4 linked regions of the Drosophila melanogaster genome follow. The protein of the gene in region 4 interacts with the protein of the main gene of each other region in a pairwise test. Each region holds a gene or a part of one and is shown on either strand. Other genes may lie near its edges.

The links.
Region 1: the proteins of Ing3 (region 4) and CG15728 interact in a two-hybrid assay, tested with the Drosophila melanogaster proteins (one large-scale study listed by BioGRID).
Region 2: the proteins of Ing3 (region 4) and CG31211 interact in a two-hybrid assay, tested with the Drosophila melanogaster proteins (one large-scale study listed by BioGRID).
Region 3: the proteins of Ing3 (region 4) and dimm interact in a two-hybrid assay, tested with the Drosophila melanogaster proteins (one large-scale study listed by BioGRID).

Annotation. Positions count from the first base shown.
Region 1 is NC_004354.4:12,622,465-12,628,952, forward strand, and holds CG15728 (uncharacterized protein), read left to right. Parts: upstream 1-1,827; 5' UTR 1,828-1,967; intron 1,968-4,628; exon of another isoform or gene 4,629-4,680; intron 4,681-4,751; 5' UTR 4,752-4,768; coding exon 4,769-4,900; intron 4,901-4,956; coding exon 4,957-5,148; intron 5,149-5,212; coding exon 5,213-5,785; 3' UTR 5,786-5,981; downstream 5,982-6,488. Other genes in the region: Aven (apoptosis and caspase activation inhibitor), read right to left, coding at 6,091-6,488.
Region 2 is NT_033777.3:11,947,764-11,954,538, forward strand, and holds CG31211 (uncharacterized protein), read left to right. Parts: upstream 1-1,916; 5' UTR 1,917-2,041; coding exon 2,042-2,591; intron 2,592-2,663; coding exon 2,664-3,021; intron 3,022-3,094; coding exon 3,095-3,248; intron 3,249-3,486; coding exon 3,487-3,729; intron 3,730-3,959; coding exon 3,960-4,062; intron 4,063-4,418; coding exon 4,419-4,475; intron 4,476-4,877; coding exon 4,878-5,002; intron 5,003-5,063; coding exon 5,064-6,155; 3' UTR 6,156-6,275; downstream 6,276-6,775. Other genes in the region: Hsp70Aa (heat shock protein 70 Aa), read right to left, coding at 6,598-6,775.
Region 3 is NT_033779.5:21,330,009-21,334,771, reverse strand, and holds the start of dimm (dimmed), read right to left. Parts: upstream 3,017-4,763; 5' UTR 2,746-3,016; intron 1-2,745. UniProt on the Drosophila melanogaster protein: Transcription factor that regulates neurosecretory (NS) cell function and neuroendocrine cell fate. Acts as a master regulator of common NS functions such as Phm expression and neuropeptide production.
Region 4 is NC_004354.4:18,650,212-18,654,824, forward strand, and holds Ing3 (inhibitor of growth family, member 3), read right to left. Parts: upstream 2,881-4,613; 5' UTR 2,753-2,880; coding exon 2,653-2,752; intron 2,577-2,652; coding exon 616-2,576; 3' UTR 507-615; downstream 1-506. Other genes in the region: Hou (houki), read right to left, coding at 1-59; CG6659 (uncharacterized protein), read right to left, coding at 3,775-3,979, 4,085-4,210, 4,336-4,529, 4,596-4,613.

The sequences.
Region 1 (6,488 bases), 6.0 Mb from region 4:
CCAAGCCAACCCAACGAGGATATGGCATGATGATATAGGGGCAGACGACGTGGAACGGGTAGTAGTTTTCAAGTGGTGCAGAGCGGCACAGAACGCTAATTAAAAAGATACTTGATGGGAGCCACCGGAAACAAAACGGAAAAGCCAAAGAAGCGAGGCGGGCAATGCGAAAAAATGCGGGAAAAATGGCTGAAATGCGAATGAAAGGCAAAGGCGAATGGGATGGCAAGCAAGTTAACGTTGCCATGAAATCGTCTATGAAATGTGAATGTAATCTAATGAATAAAATGCATCTGCTAACCCCCATCATGCCAGCCACTTGCAGATACAGATAGATGATGGATGATTCTTTCACCGGTTTCCTTCGCGTTTTTTTTTTTTTTTTTTGATACCGCAAATTCTCACATTCATGCGGTTCATTTGCGCAGCCATTGAGATTTGAATGGCATTTTTAATTGGTACATTTTACGCAGCCATCCTTTGAGCACAAAGGCACCTCCTGCTCCACCAGCCCTTCTCCTTTGAGCTGGCCATCATTCAATTTGATTTGTATTTATTTAATGAGTTATTAATTGCATTAAGCTCTCGGCGTTGGAGAACTTTGCAACTAAAAAAAAAAAGGAATAAAGCCGGGAGAGTGGGGAAAAGTTTTTCGGCTTTTGCTCGCATTCAGGCTGAAAACTACGAAACTAAAGAGTTCGTACAATTTGCAGCTTTGAAAAAAAAACAACAGAAAATGCTAGTGCCAAAAGTGTAGCATACTTTTCTGCGCACTTTTGCCTGTGATTATGAATTTGGGTTTGGCCGACTAAAGAGGCGCGAGAACTTCAAGACTAGCCAAAACTATTAGCAAATCTAAATCTAAATTATATTTCCAAATTCCAAATTCCATCTTTCCATCTTACATTTGTTGCCTCTGTTACTTCATACATTTAAAATGGTAAGCAGCCCACGTAACATAAAATTATATTATATATATATATATAAATAAGTAAATAAATAGCAAGGTGTCAGAAATACAACATAAATATTCTTGAGATCTAAACAAATTGGACTTGTTAAAGTAATGATTGTTTTGGGCCGCATAAGTATTGTAAAATAATAAAGTTACCACAGAAGGCACTTGACTTTGGCCATGAATGTACTCACTTTACTCACAGGGGAGGAACTGTCAGTTACTCCCTGCCATTATATACCAATTTCAATTTAAATTCCAGCCTGCTGTGGCCCATCCGCGGGGCAGAAACAAAAATATATATATATGCATGTATATAAAAATAAAGGAAAAAAAATAGAAGTGAAGTTCGGAGAAACCGCAACAGCAATTCTCGACATAATGATTGTGTTGAGGGGCGATTATGTCATCATGGATGGGCAGGGCAAAAGGACTCGACACACTTGACTTCCGGTTGGAGGATGGCTGCGAGATGTTTGCCATATTGTGTGAAAATTTGTGTTTTCCCCCGTCCACTGCAATTGGCGGTGGTGGTTTCTCGTCTCGTTTTTGTGATTAAAAATGTTTGTCATTATCCGCTTGGAAAATCGTCCGAAATTGTGTTTGTGCCGCGGGCCGTGCCACACTTGCTTATTTCAAATCTGGCATCTTTATGCCTAATTGCCGCATTGTGTCCCATTGTGCGGCCATCGAACCTGTGGATTGAATCGAATCGGATCGAATCGAATCGAATCGTCTCACAGTCTCAGCCTCGAACCCCGACTGAGCCATACAGGTTGCCTCTGGCTAAGAGTCCATGGCTAAGGGAAAGCCACTGACTATGGCTTTCCATCGATCAGTTGCAATTTGTTGCAAAAGCGAATAGTGGTCAGCGGAATAAAAAAGATACCCATTGAAATATTAGTGAGCTCCTTGATAATTTGCTAATAATTGACGAGGAAGTGAGAAGTAATTTCATTGTACAAGTGAAGTATTCTTCCGCCAAGCTAAACATTTCATACAAAACGTACAGGTATGTCCAGTTTTAATTACATTCATTACGATTCCTGCCCCTTTTGTATATAAACTTTGAGATCCCCATCCATGGGGATGAACTTTATGAGACTCCTGAGCTCCTCGAACTGCATCTAGATATTTTAGAATTTTTGTATCTTTTCGTTTGATTGCTAATGATATAGTGAATCTCAAAGCATTCTCGCTTGTGCCCACCAGGAGCATATTGATCTCAAGGATTCGCTTGAACTTCTGGCACTGATCAAAAAGATCCCAAAGCTTTCTTTTTTGAGTTTTTCTTTGGTGCAATTTCCAGGTCATCACTCTCTTTCACGCTCCTAAGCTCCTAGAACTATCTATATCTATATATTTGGAAATTTATGTATATCTTTTTTTTATTGCTAATGATATAGTTATTAGAGCATATTGATCTTAAGGTCAAAAATAGTCCTAAGCTGTTTAAATAAAGGTTAAAGTTGGCCACAGCACTTACATATACATACATACAGGAAACTCTGTAAAACATGAAATTCTTTATTACTTGGGCACTTTTTCTTCATTACCCCCATCTTGCAAATTCTTTAAAACTGTTTCTAGTTACACAACGCATATAATTAATAGAAAATCAATATGTTTACCTTACCGAAAGAAATTCGCTTAGTATCATCAGGGCCGACAGAAATATTAGACTTATTTTCTTTGCAAGGGTCTATTCGATTTCTTATGTCGCGTCTTGCAAAAGTGGCTAATTCTCAGATGACATTTCGTGATAATTGGTGGGTGGAACGGTTTGGATTCCACTTGCACTGTGGCTATCATTTGTATACATACATCATACTTTCCAATTGTGTAAACAACAACTTCATTAGTAAACAAAAAGTTCGCTGGGTGGTTACAGAACGCAAATCCTAAGCCCGAAAACCGATTCCCTTTCAAATGCCACAAATCAGTAAATAATGACATGAAAATCTGTTGGCTTTTGTCAGGCCCCGCGGCCTCGAAGACCGAAAAATGAAAAAGTTAGTTGGATGGGGGAGGGTTTTCGGTTGCAAAAGTGTTGAGACAAGTGGGGTGGACAATTTGCCTTAAATTAGGCGTAAAATGCACAGATTGGTTACAACAAACAGCGCACACAAGCGGCTCATCAGTTCGGTCCACCCTCAAAAATTAAAGGGTAGCTACTTGCCACTTGTCATCACCATCTTGATTATTATTATCATCGCCATCCGACGGGAACCGGATATGATTGTTAGTATCTATTAGCACAGTTGAACCTCCAAATGATGGTTCCATAAATAATAATACCAGTCTTGTCATTTTTTTTTTTAAGTAAGATAAATAACTACAGTAAAATTTTTCTTATGATGAGCAAAAATACTCAAATGGAAAATGTAAACATCTTTTCAATCTTGTAGTAAAATAAAAATGTAAGCATCTTTTCCACTTACGGATGTTTGACTGTAATTGGCCTGGTCTGCGTTTCCCGTTCAACTTGCTGAACAACCCTCGCTAATTGAGCACTTTTGTTGCGTTTAATAGAGGGGGATTCTTGGGTTTTTACACTTGACGTAGATTTTTAGCTGGACGCTGATATAATAGATCATATTATGCTATAGATGTTCCCAGTTGATTAGCATACAATCGCTTCGCAAGCAGTGGCAGCTAAATTGAGGTTATGTTTGCAAGCAGTTCAGAAAGAGAGGGTTATATGTTGCCTACCCCTTTGCCATTTAAATTTGATCAACAAATACATGTGCATAATTAAAAACAAAAAGGAGAGCATAACACACACACACACACACACAGAGAGATTGCAAAAAAGTTGTTAATCTTTTCATGCCGACGCATAATTAAAATGTGAATATGGAAATTTCAATAGGAATCTGTGCAAAAAATGCCCCAAAAAAATAAAGGGGGCGATAAAAAAGCAGAAGAGCAGAAAGAAAAGACCAAGCAAAGGACGCACAAACACACACACACACACAGAAACTTAACGGTTTCCTGCTGTTATGGCCATCTTGCTTGCACCTCTTGCGCTTTTTACCGCCAGTTCGTTTGCGTGCGTGTGTGTGTGTGTGAAAGCAAGTAATTGCGAAATATGAAATATGAATGCATAATGAGCAGATATTCGCCAAGTGTGCAAGAAACTTGAAGCGGCGATGGGCGTGGCAGGTGGAAAAGTGGGAGTCGGAAACGGAGGCCAGGTGACTTTTATGCTAAAATGCGCACATCGCGCGTGCATTTGCATTTTGCCAGCCTTTTCGAAAGCAGTGCAAGGACAAGCACAAATACACACAAACAAAGGCGGGCACACACACAGGCAGGAAAAATCATAACTACAGTAAGCGTCCGATAGCAGCGACTCCTCTAAGTCCTTCAATTTTATGCGATTCAACTAGAAGTTCAACACAAAAGTGTATTTTGTCTAAAAATGAACATAACTATATAATTATAATATTTTAATATATTATTACAAAAAATTAATTTTAAATCATGGAAGATGTACATAGGTTCAAGGTTCATGAATTCAAATCAAAAGCTTCATAGTTAATTCCTAGACTTTTCAATTAAAAGTACCCACTTGCTGATTTCACTGTACTCGGCTTGGCCAAGATGGCAGCCAAGTGTGTTTGAAAAACATGTCAAAATGTTGTGGAGCTCATTAAAATAGCGTTGGCTATTTGCACACATCATATCTTTCAGTCACTAATTTGTAGAAGGAGGAGGAGAAGGTGAAGCAGCAGCAAATCCTTGAAGGCGCCTTTTCCCTGTTCAAAAGTAATGCATAACTCCCTTTTTCCAGCTTTTTCCTCAGATAAAATGGCAGAATACAACATGAGCCACATGGTGCGACCCCAGGGATTCAGTTTGGAAGAGCTGCGTCAGACTATGAGTCGATCGGCGATTCGGGAACAATGCTACTTTATTTATGCCACCGGCAATATTCTGGAGGTGATCCATATTCATATCATAATCACATTATCTAATTTATTCACATGTTCCGTTAGATTATATCTGGTTTTGATGAACTGCTCAACCAGGAGGGGATCCAATTCGGAGCAGATAAACTGGCTGCGGTGTATGTATGCGGTTTGATGGTTTATCTACTCCATCATGAGGACACGTCGGCCACCCAGGTGAAAAGAACTCTTTTCCTGCAAAAGTGCTTCAATTATATGGCATGCTCCGAGGAAAGCCATGTGAGTAAGCATATATATGTTTGAAATATATATTTTTTGATCCTTCCCTTTCTTTGCCCAACAGATCCACCAGGTATGCGTCCATGTCCTGGGTCTCTTGGATATCCAGAGTTCGAGCACAATGCTCAACCTGATCCTCGGCTGCCGCGTGGCCAGTCCGCTGTGCACAATGGCCAGCGTTGTGGCTAACTGTCTGCTCTGGGCCATGTTGGATCATATGTCGGACTTGGGCCTGGACTTGCACCGATTGCGTCCGGCTAACACACTGCTGCTCGTCGTTGCCGTGGTGAAGCCGCATATTTATGTAATATCCTATTTGCATTCCCTGCACCTGGTGGTCCGTTTGATATCCAGCATCCTGCTGATCGGACCATTCAATGCCCAGGGCCAGCAACTGTGCCAGGAGACCGATGTGCCGGAGGATTATATGAAACTGGCCAGGGACGATTGTTCGATATTAGTTCGCTGGCTAATCGCGATCGTTGATGAGCTGCGTCCGCTGATGGTGGAGAACAACGATTTGGGGCATCTGCATGAGCGCCTGGTGCTTTTGGAGTCCATATGTGAGCTTATGCAGCTCTTGCATGGCCATTTGGTTAAGTGTTACCAAGGCAAAAGTGGACCACAATGTAAGTAATAGCGAACGGAAACAAAGAAATCTGTTATAAATTCAGATACTTTGATGAGAAGAGAATTGAAATCTTCAATAACTTAACCTAACCTTTGAAACTTATTTCAAGAAACAATCGCATCGTATATATATGCAATCAACGATTTTATTATACACAATAAAAAGGCTCTAGCTTTAACTATAAAGTTACGAGGAAAACTCTAGATTTTGCAATTTTAATGATGCTACTTCTAAAAATGCAAGCACTTAGTGATTTGAATATTTCGTGTAAGCGTAAAAAGCTCTGGTAATAGTCCTCCTGAACTATGTAACTATTCATCCAAAACGGAATCCAGCCATTCCTCCACACCGTTTTTGCTTGCTGCCGATGAGGGTGTGGCCGGCTGCACCATAGGCATTGGCATCGTAATGGTTCCAGAGCCTATATCCAGTTGCGTATCGGTCATGGCCAATAGCTCGTCAAGTTCATCAGGTTCAGCTGCTGAGGCAGCAATTGGTTTTTCCGCCGCTGCAGGGGCAACGTCCTTATTGGACTTAGCAGAGGGAGCTCGCGACTTGGCGCCCCCATTGGCGTCCTTCAGAATGCACTGCTGGTAAACTGCCTCAGCCCGTTCGGCGGCCTTCTCTTGGGCGGCAATCTGAGCGCGGGTGAACAAAGACGCCGGATAATCCATACGCTTGTATAACGGAATCGTTTGCAGACCCACAT
Region 2 (6,775 bases), on a different chromosome or scaffold from region 4:
AGAAGGAGAAAAAAACACAAACACTAAACATTTCAGCAATTCAATCATTCACATATGTATGTATTTATATTTCTTTTTTGTTGCTATTTAGCAATTATGCACGAGTTATCTCACGGTCAACTGGTTTTTTTCGAACGATTTTTTATTGTATTTTATACGAGTCGAATTTCGCATTGATGGAAATGCAAATAAACGCGCAGTGAGAAGAGAACATTTTCCGGGCCCCACAGCAAAAGGAAAAAGAAAATTCAAAACGGCACGCGACGCACGAACTTAATTATTTACTACGTGTGTGTGCGTGTTGTTGCACAACTACAATAAAAACTCAAAAAAAAAAAAATTAAATAAAAGCAAACAACAACGATCCAATGTCAGAGAACCACCCACACGAATTGAAAAGTCAAACGGACAAATTGAATTTCGGCCTGCAATTTACGCTTTTAATTAAATCATTAAAAGGGGGCACAAAGATTACGATTACGCCATTACAGAGCACACAGAAAATCAAGATCTGCGTATGATACCAAATTTCTGAGATTAAGTTGATATTTCATTTTTTTTTATTTTATTTTGATGGTTGAAAGATTGATATAGATAAAGACGTAAATTGAACTTTTGTTTCCTTAACATGACAAAGAAACTTGCAACCACTAAATATTTGTATATATTTTCAGTTAAATCGAATCACATGCTAAGTATATTAATAAAACGTTTGTCTTTGTAAAATCAACGAACTGTTGATCATCTATCCGTCCTGTTTTGCTCCCAGTGTAGCGGCAACAGTTGCACTGTTTGGTGTTTGGTGGCTCAAAAATGTAATTACGCACTCCAGTGCAAAAGCAATCGACAGCAAATTACATATTTGTAATGGTTTGCAATTGAACTGCTTTTAAAATTGAATAGCAATTAAATTGTTGCTTGGCAAACACGAACACACACAGCCCGAAAAAAAACCAGACAAACCACTACAGACAGACTCAGACACACACCGATAGAAACGCTGCTGCGCCGACGCAACTGCGCTGCAGAACTTCTCTTCCTCTTCTCCTTCTTCATCTTTTAATTTCTTTTACCTTTAACTATTATCTATTTTAGCATAATTTCATTCACACACCAGCTTTTGTTTGTATTGAAATTAGTCGCGGCGGCTGTAATTAAACAATGCGGTATTTCGAAACTCGCGCTGAGAACGACCGACAATAACACCAACACAGACAGGAGCGCGCCCTTCTCGCACGCACACAAATTTATTATAACACGTAAACAACAACGCCGCAACGCCGACGCAACTTATTTTTCCGGCAGCGACGCGTCCGCATACGTCCGCTCACGTTAAGTTCCGCAGAGAGAAGTTGTTGAAAACATAAACAGAATCACTTGTTGCACTCTTTGAGAAAAGTGGGGCTATTGCTGAAAAAACCAACTAAAAATATTGCAGGTTAGGGATACTCGCTCGATTGGCGTACGGCCACACTTTTGCGACTTCACTGTTAACCTCTACTTCATAGAGACTTTTACCCGATAAATGTTATGAGTTTGACTTTCTCTGTTAATCACAAGAAAAAATATTGTGGAAATTAAAATTATCTCAAATCAATAAAAAATAATAATATATACACCTATGTTTTATAGAAGTCAACAGTAAATAAGTTATTTGGAAAACCATTGTAGCCGTTTAAATAAATCTCCTTGAGTGTGTTTTAAATAACGGTCATTAAGTATATTACTTGGCCCTCTGAATTTCTTGAATTACACCATTTTTAGAAATAAATCAATCCAAAAGACTACTTTTTGGTGGCAAATGAACTGCATAAAAAGTAACAAAAGAAATATGTTTTTGAAATAACAGTATAGCTGAAGTGTATTAAAAAATACCGTCATATGAGCGACCCGCTGTTACCGCTTCGCTGCGAATGACAAAACGGGCTGAGCAAGAAAATGGCGTAGAAGGCGACGAAAATTCGTTTCACTCGTGAAGAAAACCTCGATAACTGAGGAATACAGCTGGGATTTAAAGAGCATATTCGAACTACAAGCAGAGATGTTTCCTGGTGGAAACGGAAACGCCGATTTGGGCTACAACAAGCATGCCCACGTCCATGGACTTGGACAACATGGCCATGGGCACAACCATAATCACAATCAGTTCCTGGCGCAGCCCCCACCACCCCCCACACATTTTTCACTGCCCTCCGGGGGCGGTCAGGGCATGGTGACGCCCATGGTAGCCGCCGGCCTGCCGCTCGCCATGCAGGGTGGCGTTGGCATCGATTGGGCGCAGCTCGCCCAGCAATGGATCCACATGCGGGACGCTACTCCGGTGCCCATGCCCCTGGCCCCTCCGCCGCCCATCATCAGCAATTTGCGAGAATACCACCAGCAGACGCTAGCAATGCCGGTGCCCAGTGTGGTCAGGGCGGGATTTCCGCAACTAGAGGAGCACGGCGAGGCGGATATGGACATGGACGATGAGAATGATCGGGGACATAGCACTGAGACACCCCCACCGCCAGCACCTTTGGTTACGCAATCCCAATGGCTGGCGGGCACCGAAGTGGCTGGTCAGATCCCAGACGCCTCCAACGGAGCGGGTTTGTAGAAGATCCAAGAAGATAGCACAATAAATCAGGTCAGCAACTAACCCTCCTCTCCGTTCCTTGCAGCTGTCACGCTGGGCAAGCAGCCATGGACCGGGTGGCAAATGCAGACCGACAAATCAGGCAATTCCACGGCGCATATACCATCTCTGCTGAAGCTGAACGTGAGCAATCCCAATGAGCCGCACCAACAGCTGCAGTTGCAGTTGCAAGCGCATCAGCAGCAGCAGCAGCAGCATGCTCCCCAACCAACGCATCCACACCATCCACCAGCACATCAGCCGCATGCACATCCACACCACCTAACACCACATACACACCTGCCGCCACAGCACACACAGCAGACGCATGCGGAAAGCGGAAGTAGCGGGGCTAGCAGTGAGATCGATGCAAACAAACGGAAAATGTTGCCAGCTTGGATAAGGTATGAGTGTGCAAAGAACCACAATAAGATGCACAAAAGATAGATACTTGTAATAATTTCCTTAATCTTTCAGAGAGGGCCTGGAGAAAATGGAGCGGGAAAAGCAGCGGCAACTAGAGCGCCAGCAATCCTCCATGACCACGCCAGATGTTGAGGTCAACCATGTTAAGCAAGTATCAAGCAAAACACTAACCACACCTGGTAATCTTTTGAACATCGCGAACGTGGTAAGTAAGGTCGATGGGCGGCAGGGTTAACTGACTCTCAATACGGACAGAAAAGTGCCGAAAGCGTAGCACACACCATCTCACACAAATTGGTTGCACAAAATTTAGACGGGACTGAACCAAACTGAAAACGATGTTTCGTCGTTGAAAGCACACAAAACTTAAAAACAATCCGGACAGTAGAGCAGACTGCAGGCTTGAGTGCAGGCTGTCGATTAAACATTCCCTTGAAATTCAGGCTAGCGACAGCGAAGATTCCATTGACGTGCCTGTGGAGGCGCGTGGAGAACTAAAGGTGCAGCAAATAGGTAATGAATTGATTAGTAAGGACGACGATCGAAGCAGCAGCAGCAGCGAAGAGCCAGAGTCGGAGCTGCATGGAGCCATCGAAACCGGCAATCGGACAGTGGCGGAGCACGTGAGAATGGCTACCGTAAACGATGTCAATGGTAAAAACTACGAAGAAAGACTGGCGGATCTGGTAGGCATCACCATTTGACCCGGATGTTTGCTCAGCCAGGCGATGAAATCGAGTGAGTCTCAGAGGCGAAGGAACTGCGGAATTCTGACAACACTTTACTGGCTGCTCTGCAGTTCGTTCACTCTTCACTAGAGTTTCATTCCCTGGCCATCGGCGGCACATCCAAAAAAAAAACCCATTTGTATAGTTGCAAACAATGAATATGAACACCCAATACCACCCATCTGTAGATGCTTGTGGTGCGTCGGACACTAACCGAAATCCTGCTGGAAACCACGAACGAAGAGATTGCAGCCATTGCAGGCGAGACTCTAAAAGCACACCGTGCGAAAGGTACATTATGCATTATACTTAAGTTTATCCCAAACCGATTTCTTCCAGCGCTCGCGCTCGTGTGTGTGTGTGTAAGTAGTTATAGATCGTAAGACGGCGCGGATATATCGCGGATCGATTGTAGCTTGGATGACCGGATGTTTCGGCCAAGCGATTGGAGTCGTGTTTTTTCCGGCTTCACAGCGCGTTACCAACTCTTTTAATCCTATGTCTATGCTAATAATCTTTAAATCCCTAATAATGAATTGATATATCGAACACCACACAAACCAATGAAATCACTTGCTGAATTTTTTAATTTTAATATATAATATATATAATTATATATATATATGTATGTATGTGTAAATCAAAAGCGTCATCAGCCCAAGTGATTCGCAAAAGCGCCTTGTCCTCCATTACCGGCAACTTGGGTAAGTAACCAAATTCCAGTTTAGTTCATACATATTCTTTGCACTATTTTTGTTCAGAGGTAGTCTGAGTTATGCTTGGTCATCCTGTCTTTCTATACCCCAAATCCTAATCACAAAACGAAAAGATATTACAAAGAATTGGATTACTCCTATGGCCGAGATTTAACATTCTATGCTTCCTGTAAATTTAAGCCATGGCCAAATGATTTCGACCCCCTCGGCGCAGTTTGGTCTTTCTAGCCCGCTTCTTCGTCCTTTCGCTTCCCCATTTCCCCTTCCTTTCACCTTTCCGTAAATTCTTGCGAAGATATTGAAAATCAGTTCAAAATATACCAAAATCTGCGCCCGATCTACATTGAAGCCTGGTAGCAACAATTAGCACTTGACTGATTTGAATTATAGGTTTAGCTGCCTATGGCGATTCTTCCAGCGAAACCGAGGATGATGAGGATGATGAAGATGAGCGTCAAGCGGGCGCTGGAAAGGATGCCGAAAAAAGCGCGCAGCTAAGCGCGGAGGAGTTGAAAGTAAGTTAGCCACACGTTCATTATCAAAAGATATCAATTCTCAATATTATTTGGCTTTTAGGCTCGCATAAGGCGCAGCAAACGATCCTTCGAGAAAGTCATTGACGACATTGAGGATCGAGTGGCCAAGCAAGAGCTGCTTGATGAGCAAACACTGCTGCGACATCGCAAGCGGGAGCTAGAACGCTCCGTAACTGGTGGTGGTGAGCATCGTCGACCGGCGGCCAATCCAGAACCGCCCAGTGAGTCGGCTAGTCAAGCAACCCAGGAAAAGCATCAGCAGTCAAATGGTATAGGTGATGCACATAAATCCAAAGAACTCCTAAGCATACATTGCCATCATTTAGGCAAAAGACTCAGTCGCAAGGAACGGACCACCCGCTTTAGCGACAACAAGGACGGCAAACAGCAGTCGCAGAGCTTCGTGCAACAAGTAGTGGCGACCGCTGTGGTGCCACCACCCGGAAGCCTAAGCAATAGCAGCCCACAAAAGCTGAAGCCCGTTCCCAATCCGGCCACTAATCTACTGCAGATGCCGGAGTCGGTGGCCACCATGCTGACTGCGGCTGACAAGGCGCTGCACAAGGCCAACAAGTCGTCGCATAAAAAAAGCAAGCGCCGCCACTCGTCCCCCTCGTCATCGTCTAGCAGCAGTGGGAGCAGCTCTAGCAGCGATAGCGACGACAGTAGCAGCACCTCGAGCGGATCCAAAACTTCAGGCAGCCGCAGCAAGCGATCCAGTCGGCATGGACACCGCAGCCACCACAGCAGCAGTCGGAGCAAATACGAACGTCGCGATCGCGACAGAGAAAGGGAGCGGGCGCGGGAGCGAGAGCGGGACCGTGATAGGAGTCATCGCCAGCATCGTAGTAGCCAGCTTAGTGGAAGTCACCACCAGAAACAGCGCCGACATCGCGAGTCCAGCCATTCAGGCGAAGATGCTGGCGGTAGCAGCAGTTACCACCGCTCCTCGCGGCAGAGCAGCAGCCGTAGCCATGATCATGGCAGCAACCGTAGCCATGATCACGGCAGCAGCAGCAGCGGACGGAAGCGGCACCGCACGAGATCCCGCTCCAAGTCGCGAAGCACTCACCACTCCAGCTCGAAAGCATACTCCTCCACTTCCGCGTCGCATCCGCGCAAGCGCCATTAAGAAAAATCTTGCGCGTAAAAATCCGAAGTTAATTGTTAATATTACATAATTATTATTTCTTCTGTTTAAGATGCTTTTTAGTAAACAGTTTTAAATCAGCCTAATAAATTAAAAACTCAGAAAAATTTGTTTTTTTTTCATGTGTTATGCGAATATCCTCATAATAATTAGATATATTTTTAAAGTTGGACATACGGGAATACGGGAATTAAGTTCCCAATAATACAAACAAGTAAACTTTTTTAAATTCAATAAATAATTTATTTTTTCTATAAGCAATAACATTTTTGCTAAATTAAGACTTGGTAATTAGGTAATACTATTGTTGTTCTATGGAATATTCGATCGAAACATTCTTATCAGTCTCAAAAACTTAAAACAAACTTATAATATAACCCATATGTTATAACCCATTGATGAACAAAAATTAGACTCTTTGGCCTTAGTCGACCTCCTCGACCGTGGGTCCAGAGTAGCCTCCAAATCCTCCCGCCTGCTGGCCGCAGTTTGCTCCCGGACCACCAGCTCCAGCTCCCGCACCCTGCTGATGCATCTTGGTCATGATGGGGGAGCAGTGGCGGGTGAGCTCCTCCAGCTTGTGGTCGAACTCCTCCTTCTCG
Region 3 (4,763 bases), on a different chromosome or scaffold from region 4:
AAGACTATGCTATAGTGGAGTTCCCCGACTATCAGGAACCCAGATATCAGAATACAATTAGAATGAAATAGGCGGTTTATGGGGGTTAGAGTGGGCATAGCAAAAAGTTTTGTTTATCAAATTTACAACACCAGCGAAAATATGAAAAAAGATCAAAACATTTTTCAAAAGCACGGGCGTGACAGGTTTGGTAAGTTTGTAGGTGTGGCAAAATGGGTCAACAAACTTGCGCTGCTTCTATGTCTCTAGAATCTGTATGCTTAACCTCAACCTTTTAGCTTTTATAGCTCAAGGACTGCTAGGTTCGGAAAAATCGAATTTCTTTTAATTTGAAATCTGGTATCGTTTGCCACGTCCAATTTTTGAAATCAGAATTTTCGAAAAAGATATAAAATCAAGAAGTTGAGGTTTTTTTTTTAAATCGCAATACCATTGTTTGTTCACGTTTGACCACCTTTTAGAATTTGAAAAAATGTATAATTTAGAAAATATATGACATAAAGCGTTTGACCATCGCTTACAACTAAATATTATCAATTAAAAACGTTTGCAAAACCATTATTATTATTTTCTTATCGTTTGCACACCCTTAAAACAAAAAAACTAAAAAGAAGTGTAAACTGCGGTTTTAGTAACTGATAATATTTTTTCACCAGATCGAAGGTGCTCTAAAAAATCGCGGTCGGTCATATGCAGCGGTTTGCACTGCCACTGACCACGAAAAATGCCCTCTTTGAACAAGAATTCGACTTTATTCGTTTAAAACATCACCAGATAGATATTGCGAGCCATTATAGTTAAGGCCATCTTTTGGTTTCATTTAGCGCAGTGCTGTACATCGTCGATTGCTTGTCTTTTGTAATGGTACAGTGGTGTTCACAAACTCTTGTGATTCTGTATATGGCTATGGATTTTGTATATAAAGAGCCTGAGTCGATGAGAACTTCGGACTTCTAAAAGTTTTGGGTTTGGTTGGGTTTAATCGGCCAACGCAGAAGTCAACAGCAGGCGTGTGATTTTCGTTGCCAAAATGGTCTCCTTGCTGATCTCAGGGACTTATGAGAATTCGGATCAAGGCTGTGCACAGGACAACTGCGAGGACGACTATTTTACTACATCCGGCGACGCCTTTTTTCGCTTCCAGAGAAGACACTATCATCGAGGTGCTTGCTGCTGAACCACGGATAAGTATTAGGGTTCTGGAAAAAGAGAGACCCCAAGATGCGATGCTTGCCGGACATCAATTGTTGTCACGTTGTTAGCTTCACTTTAATGTGTATAAGTATGTGAATTTGTGAAAGATTTTCATTTAGCAAAAGTAATGATTATTTAAAAGAGTTTTGGCTCGCGAACCGGTTCACCATTATAGGGCACTGTAACTACACGGTTCATGTAACATACTATATATCACCGTACTGTCTAGAAAAAAATCATGCTTGCGTAAGAGTGGGCGTGGCCAGAATGTTTAAGTCATTACGATTAAAAAATTAAGGTTTCATACCATCTATTTTAATTATATCGCAATGCAAAGATAAATGAAACATGTCCCAAAAATGAATTAAAAATTATGGCGGTTTATTTTTATGAAATAAAAGTTTACCCGCTTAATATTCTCTTTAATTTGCGAATACATCAACTTCTTGCTAAACTCTTTTGTATGTATACAATATACTTTTTTTGCCAAGAGTTGAGGAGTATAAAAAACATTTACCGATGAAACGCTTTTGCCGCATTGTCGTTGTTATGGTTATGCCCTTTGGCTTACCAGCATTTGACCCGGAACCTGCAGCAGCGTTTAAAGCGTGAGACAGACCAAGGAATACGCGGGACGAGAAATGTGCATTGACTTTGTTGTTAGAAACCGCGCACTTTGCAGTGCATTTATTCCGTCGTCGGTGTTGAATGAAACAAAAGTGTCGCTATTATTTAACGACAACAGCTCCTTGGACTTCAGACTCTTTGGGGTCTCTTAAGAAATGTTGAGAAAAGTGACATGGCTTAACACATCGGGGGTCTATTCAAAGGACAGATTTATAAATTCCATTTAACCGTTTCTTTAATTTGTATATCGCCTATTTTTATTAAACAATAAAACAGTATTTATAATTCAATTGGCTTTTAAAGGGAGAGAATAATTTTAACATTCGATTAGCCAACAGTAGATGAATAGCCTGAATCCAACGTATAATCCTAGAAAATTCTTGGACTCATTTATTTTGAAAACTTCCGCACAACCTTTAAATGTCATCTCATGGGAATGGTTAAACCATACTTCGATCAAGGCATTACAATAGAAATGTCTACTTCTTCCTTTGGAGACTTAACAGAAAATTTCACTTTCTTTGTTAGCGCTAAATAGGGGTTTGAGGATCTTAGCGATGCAACCTGCACCTGGTCTTGTGTAATATTTATTACGCTTTCTATTAAATAAAGCATACTTTTGTGAGCAATTGTTTGCCTTTTCTGTGCGGTCCACCCGCTAAGTTACAACAACGTATACTGCAGTTGACAAGTGTATGGGGAATTTTGTAAATGAAGTAAACTTATCCCAAGCCCGAATGACTACCGATTGTTGAAAAGAAATAAAATTAGTTTTCTATGCTTTCTTTTATTTTTCAATGGTTTGCTTGTGTAAGCTTTTCATAATTAGTCGGCTTTATTTTATAAGGTAAGTTTACTTTGTCAAAATTGTTGAACTCAACCCAACAACGCATTTCAGCCAGCTTAATTGTACTGACAACTTACATGTACTTGGATGTAATTAATCCACGATGTTTTTAAATATTTAAGTCACTTTTCAACAACTCTCACAATTCACGCTGCATTTCATTTTTGCTAAATATATATCGATCCTTGGCTATCCTTTTTCGTTTTCGAATTCTAAGCAATAGTATTTTTTAAAAACTTCCGCACAATTCGAATCAAATATCTCGGGAGCGCACAACGATTACCGGAAACGCGGAAGCGCTGGTGATGACGGCCACTTGTGGAATGGCTGAATGAACGAAGCGGTGCCATCGGCCGACCCGAGTCCAGACAAAAGACGAATCACAAGCCTGGCCGATGGGAGTCGAGTCGAGCAACAAGTCCACCCAGCAGAGGGGGCTGGAGCTTCCGCCCGCACGAGAGCCTGAGTCGAAACAGACTGGCGAATGGAGAGCAACTGAAAATACTCAAAAACGGAGTGGATTTCTGAGTCAGAGTGTTTTTTTTCGTATTTTCCAAAGTATTGAGGTGGCACCGCTGAAATTAGAGGATTATGTTATCTGGGGTCCTTTAATTAATGCCTGCATATTGACATTGCAGTCCGTACCCACGATAACTCCTTAATATAAATACTAAGTAACTGTTTGAATAAATTTTTTTTATATGAAAATGTTTACGAATGTATCTAATGCGAGTTCCGTTCGACACATTAAAGTGTAATGGTATTTCCTGCACTATTTTTAAAGTTTCATAGCCAAATGACTGCAAAACCAAGAAAGTGTTTGTTTTCGAACCCAAAATTAAATAAACTCAACTCGAAACTCAAATGCGAAATATTAAGTATTTATCAAACCAAAACTCCGTTGGCAGGGCATGACGTTCCTCTACTCACTCCGACATTATATCAATAAGTACTAGGTCCCATGAAAAACGAACGTAAAAACGTAAAACGAATATACCCTTCCCGGCACGTTGTCCCAGGCTAGCTCACACATACACAGATGCAGTTCCAACGCCACCACATATTTGCCCAACGGGGTGGATTGTGGCTCGGAGTTCCTAGACATGGACACCACGTGCTCAGGCTCAACTCCAGAGGGGGGTATTGAGCCATAGGGCAGGGGCACCCACAAGGGACTATGGGAAATTTTACCACTTTTTCTGACCAAAATGAATAACTCCAGAACGGAGTAAGATATTTGGTTTTTCTTTTCTTACATTGACTTATACTAGACCATATCTATGAGACTTCCAAAACTGTGGGCGTGGCACCACGCCTTATATTTAATTAACTAATTTTCGTAAAGGGAATTCTCCTTTATATAAAATAATACTAACAAAAACAAAAGAGAATGCTATAGTCGAGTTCTCCGACTATCAGATTGGGGAATAAATCATTTTTGGGGAATAAAATGAGAAAAAATTTCCAAAGTGTGGGTTTAACCGGTTCGGCGGCTTTAGGGCGTTAGAGTGAGCGTGGCAAAAATGTTTTTGTCAAATCGATAGGAATTTACAAGAATAATACAATTTTGAAAACATTTCAACATTTCACAAAATGCGGCCGTTTAGGCGGTTTTAGGGCGTTAGAGTGGGCGTGGAAAAATGGGTCAACAAACTTGTGTCTGTCTCTAGAATCTGTCTGCTGCATCTCAACCTTCTAGCTTTTATAGTTCCTGAAATCTCGCCGTTCATACGGACGGACAGGGCCAGATCTTCATACGGATAGTCGGACAGACGGACATGATAAGATCGACTCGGTTATTGATCCTGATCAAGAACATATACTTTATATAGTCTTAATCGCTTCCTTCTGACAGTTACATACTTTTCAACGAATTTATTTACTCTACGAGTAACGGGTATAATAATAAAACAAATCAGCAACAAATCAGCAACCGCCTTGTTGAACTCCTTTTTAGCATAAAAAACTTAACAAGAATACAAAGCTACAACATGAGGTACATTTCATTGATGGACTTTTTAAGTTAAGTCTTTATCAAACAAATGCTTTTGTAAGGAAATTTATATTTTACTCAATTTTGGGTACAACACGATTT
Region 4 (4,613 bases):
TCCAGGCGCTGCAGCCACTCCTCCTTGATGATGGCCTCCGATTTCTCGTTGTAGCTCATTTTCTTGCTCTTGCGTATCTTGCCAATCTTGAGGCCGTTTTTCCAACCGATTTGCGTCGAATTCTGTTTACCTAATCGTCTTCCCGCTTTTCCTAGCCCTGTTTATGCGCTTTTATTGTTTACTAACTTGCAATGCACAAATGACGCTGGAAATTTTCTTTTCTTCTGTTCAGCGTGACCAGAGTGCTTTAGCAAGCGCAGCATGGTCACGCTGTTTGATTGCCAAGAGGGCGCGAATTTTGAAATCAAACTATCGAATGAACTATATTTTATTGTTTATTATTATTGTAGCGAAAACACCCTAAATTTGTTATTTAAGCTAGAAGCTGGCTTAAACTACTTTAGTTAAGATATATTAGTGCAATCCCAATCCACTATTCGCCTTTGCGTTCCGAACTGAATATAAAGAGCTGCTCTATTGCTGATCTAACTTTATTGAATACTTTGAATTTGTTTATTTGTCACTTTACAAGTATAAGAGCCGCTAGCGACGCGACCAGGTGCCTACGCCGCCGCCCCCGCCACGGAAGAGGGGCGCCAGCAGGCGCAGTCAGCCTCAGTTCTTTCGGTTGCCACGGCGCCGCATGGAGGCGGTGCACTTGGGGCAGTACCACTTGCCCTTGGGCGGCTGGGTGATGCCCACGCAGGGGTAGTGGAACCACTCGTAGGGACAGGCGTCGTTGTCGCAGGCCACCATGTCGCCGTAGGACACCTGGTTGCAGGTGCAGTAGCGCGGCTCGTTGGGATCGTACGACCATTCGCCCTCGTTCGTCTGCTCCACCACGAGTCCGTTCTCGCCGATGGTCAGGCTGGAGCCGGGCGTTACCGTGGTGGTGGGCAGGTTCATGGCAATCATTCCGGCGGGCACGCCCTCAGCGGAACTCTCCGCCAAGTTGCCTCCGCCTCCACCTCCGGGGGTCATGGCGAGCAGCGCCTGTCCACCCACAGACATGTAGGTTGTCGTGGCCGATGCCGCCGCCAGGGCCGCCGACGTGGTGAGCTTGTTCACCGATTCCAGACTAATCGACGACGACGAGCCAATCGAGTTGCCCGACGAGGAGCCGGCCGTCGGCTGCACTGTGGGCAACGTCAGCGCTGTGGTTAGCTTCTTCTTTTGCTTCTTCTCCTGGTGGTGGCTGCTGTGCCCGCCGCCGTGACCACTGCTGCTGTGGTGTCCGTGCCCATGACCATGCCCATGGCCATGACCATGTCCGTGCCCATGGCCGCCATGGTGCGACTGTGAGTGGTGCGAATGATGCGAGCCGGTGCTACTACCGCCAGCTGCGCCGGTGGCCAACGCTGTGCCGGCAGCCACTGTCACCGATCCAGCGGTCGACTGCTGCAGTCCACCCTGACCGGCTTGGGTCCAGAAGTCGGTGGTGGTGCCCGCTGTTCCGTGTATGGCCTCGTAACTCGCCTTGAGGCTGGCCGTGCGGCGGCCTTGCTGCATCTGCTGTGTGGCCACGATCGCCTGGCTGGCTGCCGCCGCAATGGCACTAGATGCGGCGGCTCCTCCGCCCAGTTGTTGCAGGTTGTAGGTGACTGTGGCCCCGGCGGCCGAGTGCCCACTGACATGGGCGTGCCCGTGGGCCGTACCAGCAGCGACCACGGACGTGGAGTTGCCGCCCGCTGCCGCTGCGGCGGTCGCTCCACCCGAGGTGCTTAGCACGGTGTGGGTAAGGTTCGTGGGCAGTTGGCGGACCAGCGAACCCGTTCCTGTGGCAAGCGAGCTGCTGGCAAGACTGCTACTGCCGCCGGCCACGCCCATGGCCACAGGCAGGGTGAGATGAGTGGCGGCGATGCTGCCAATGTGGTTGGAGACATGAGTTTGGGCAGTCGTCGCGCTGGCCAGGCTGGCGGCTGCTGCGGCCGTTGTGGCGGACGAAGATGAGGCTGCCGCGGCAGTCGTGGAGCCCGAACCGACCACGGGAAGTGAGTGATTCAGATTGGCGCGCTTCTCCTGAACAGGCACCGTGCATATGGTTTCCCGCCGCTTCTCCAGCTTGCGGTGGCGCTGACTTGAGCCCAACTGGGCGGTGGAGATGCTGGAGAGGGCACCGCCCGTTCCGGCAGCACCACTGACCAGTGCAATGCCGGAGGAGCCAGTGGCGGCACCCGTTGCGTGTCCCGTCGAGCTGTTCACCATGGTATTGGCCGAACTGGCGCCGTAGTAGCGGTTCTCCTTCTGGTTCATGCTCAGCAGCAGGGCGGTGGCTGCAGTGGAGTTGCCGTCCAGCTCCAGAGAGCGGCGCTCGAGGATTTCGGTGATGCCGTTGTTGTCCGCCTCCAGCTCGCACTTGAACTTGAAGAGCTCGCTATCCAGGCGGCGCAAGTAGCGCTCCACCAGCTCGTGTATCTGAGTGGCAATAGCCACCTTCTCGTCGGCGTCCTCCATCACCTTGAAGTACTCGCCGCGCAGGCTGTGGAACTCCGTGTCCATCGACTCGTGCTGCAGTTCGTCGCGCTTGCACTGCTTGAAGAACATGTGGGCCTTCTTGTCCAGCGAGTCCATGTTGTCTGTGCACCGCAAGGAGCAGTTATTGGTTAGTGATCCGGCGAAAAGCAGAGATTCGGATTCTCTGGTTGCACTTACTCTGGACGGCGAGATCTAGTTCGCGCATCTCGGTAAAGCGGTCGCGCAGCTCCTGCGGCAGGTGCTCGATCATCTCCAGATAGTCTTCGAGGTAAAGCATGATGGCGATGCGAATGGGCCGCGGTGTAAACCCAAAATTTTAACTACTTTGTGTGTTTATTAATGAAAATTCGTGTATTGTTGCGGGTATGTGTGTGACCGGATGGCGAAACGAAGTTAATCCCAGATGCGGATGGTAGTGCTCGATAATATCGATATTTAAGCAATCGACTCGAAACCGCGATACAAACTCAGGGTGGATAGCTGCGACACAAACCCTGTAAGGTGAAATTCGAAATTTAAATAAATTGTATAAATGGAAATCATAATTAATGATATTATTTATTTACATATTATAAGCTGTATTGTATAAAACTAAAAATGTGAATATATTTCAAAACAAATATATACTCACATTTTTACTGTTCAAAAGTTGTGAACAATAAGGAGTAAGCATTTTAAAGATATAAACAAACAACAGATGCCCATAGGATTGTTTCAAATATATCATTTTATTTCACTTATTGCCTGGCAAATGCGTGTTTACCCGCTTGTTTTTGGGTCTGGGATCGTGGCTCCCGGATGCACATCGTCCACATGCAGCCACTTTCGTTGCCACACGCGTCTCATCGTCATATGTATACTACATGCGTAAATGTAAAAAGCTTAGCTTAAACTTAACGAAAGTATTTAGAGTTAAGGTCGCTCCGTTCGGCTAGATTAACTTATTCGAATGCGAGGGCGCAGGCGCAGGTGCGGGTGCGGGGAATGATCCAAACAAGGTTTGAACGCAGCGGCGCGGAAACAAGTCAAGCTGCTAAATGCATCCAGTTTACTATCTAGCGGAAGGGGCCTCCTTCTAATCGCCAATCTGCCATATCAAATCAGCTACTACGCGGGATCGGGATTTGGGATTGGGTGCGAGATGTGTTCGGGCATCCGAGGTTGGGGCAATACTAAACGTAATCATAATACACACACATCGTAAAATGCTAAATCCTAGTCACACAGCTCACACAGCTACGTACAACACAACACGATTCCAGCATTCCATCATCGCGCCGCCTCCGTGGACGGCCAGCCCTATATGGACATCTCGGGCATCTTGTTGTGCTTGAGGTTGATCTGGACGCTCTGCGAGAACATCTTGATAATGCCGTAGTGGTCGTTGGCGAACACTTTCAGGAAGCTGGGCACGTTCTTGTGGAGCAGCTCGTGGCAGAACTGTGGGTATTTTTGGTAGGCCGGCTGCTTGTCATCCCAAATGGCCAGCAGATCGCAATCGTCGCTGTTGTAGAAAGCAGGCAAAAGTACATATTAATGCGATAAGAATACAATATCTCAATTAAGCGTTCAAGTGCCCGTCTCGAGGATTTTGTCTGCGTCTACTCACCGCACTTCGTTGGTGCACTCGTCCAGCGATATGATCAAGTACTGGATCTTCAGCTGGGCGCACTGGTTGTAGATATCCGACGACTGCTGACGACTGTACACCGAGTACACGTGCTCCGTGCGCTCCCTTAAAAAAGATAAACAAAGGCGGAAGTTTCAGTACGTGCATGGCCAGGATATGGATGCCAATGAGAGCGGGACAGAGCAGGGGCATAGTCGATAGGCTATCTCGCTCAGATTGGGAGAACTTACGCTATCTGACGCATCTCCAGGTGCGCATGGTTGACTATGGGCCGTTTGGTGGTCAAGTGCACGGTGCCGATGATGTCCACGGGGCCGGCAAAGACCGCATCTCGCTCTGTGTTCAGCTTGATCCACTCGAGCATGCTGTCCAGGTCGTCACCGCTCTTGGAGTAGCGCGTGGGGAAGTACTCTTCGCGAATGTTCTATTTTTGAGAGGGCGACGAAATCACAACAATTCCCGTGAGCAATAGAGGCGGTATCCAACTTACCACCATGCCCGGATCGAA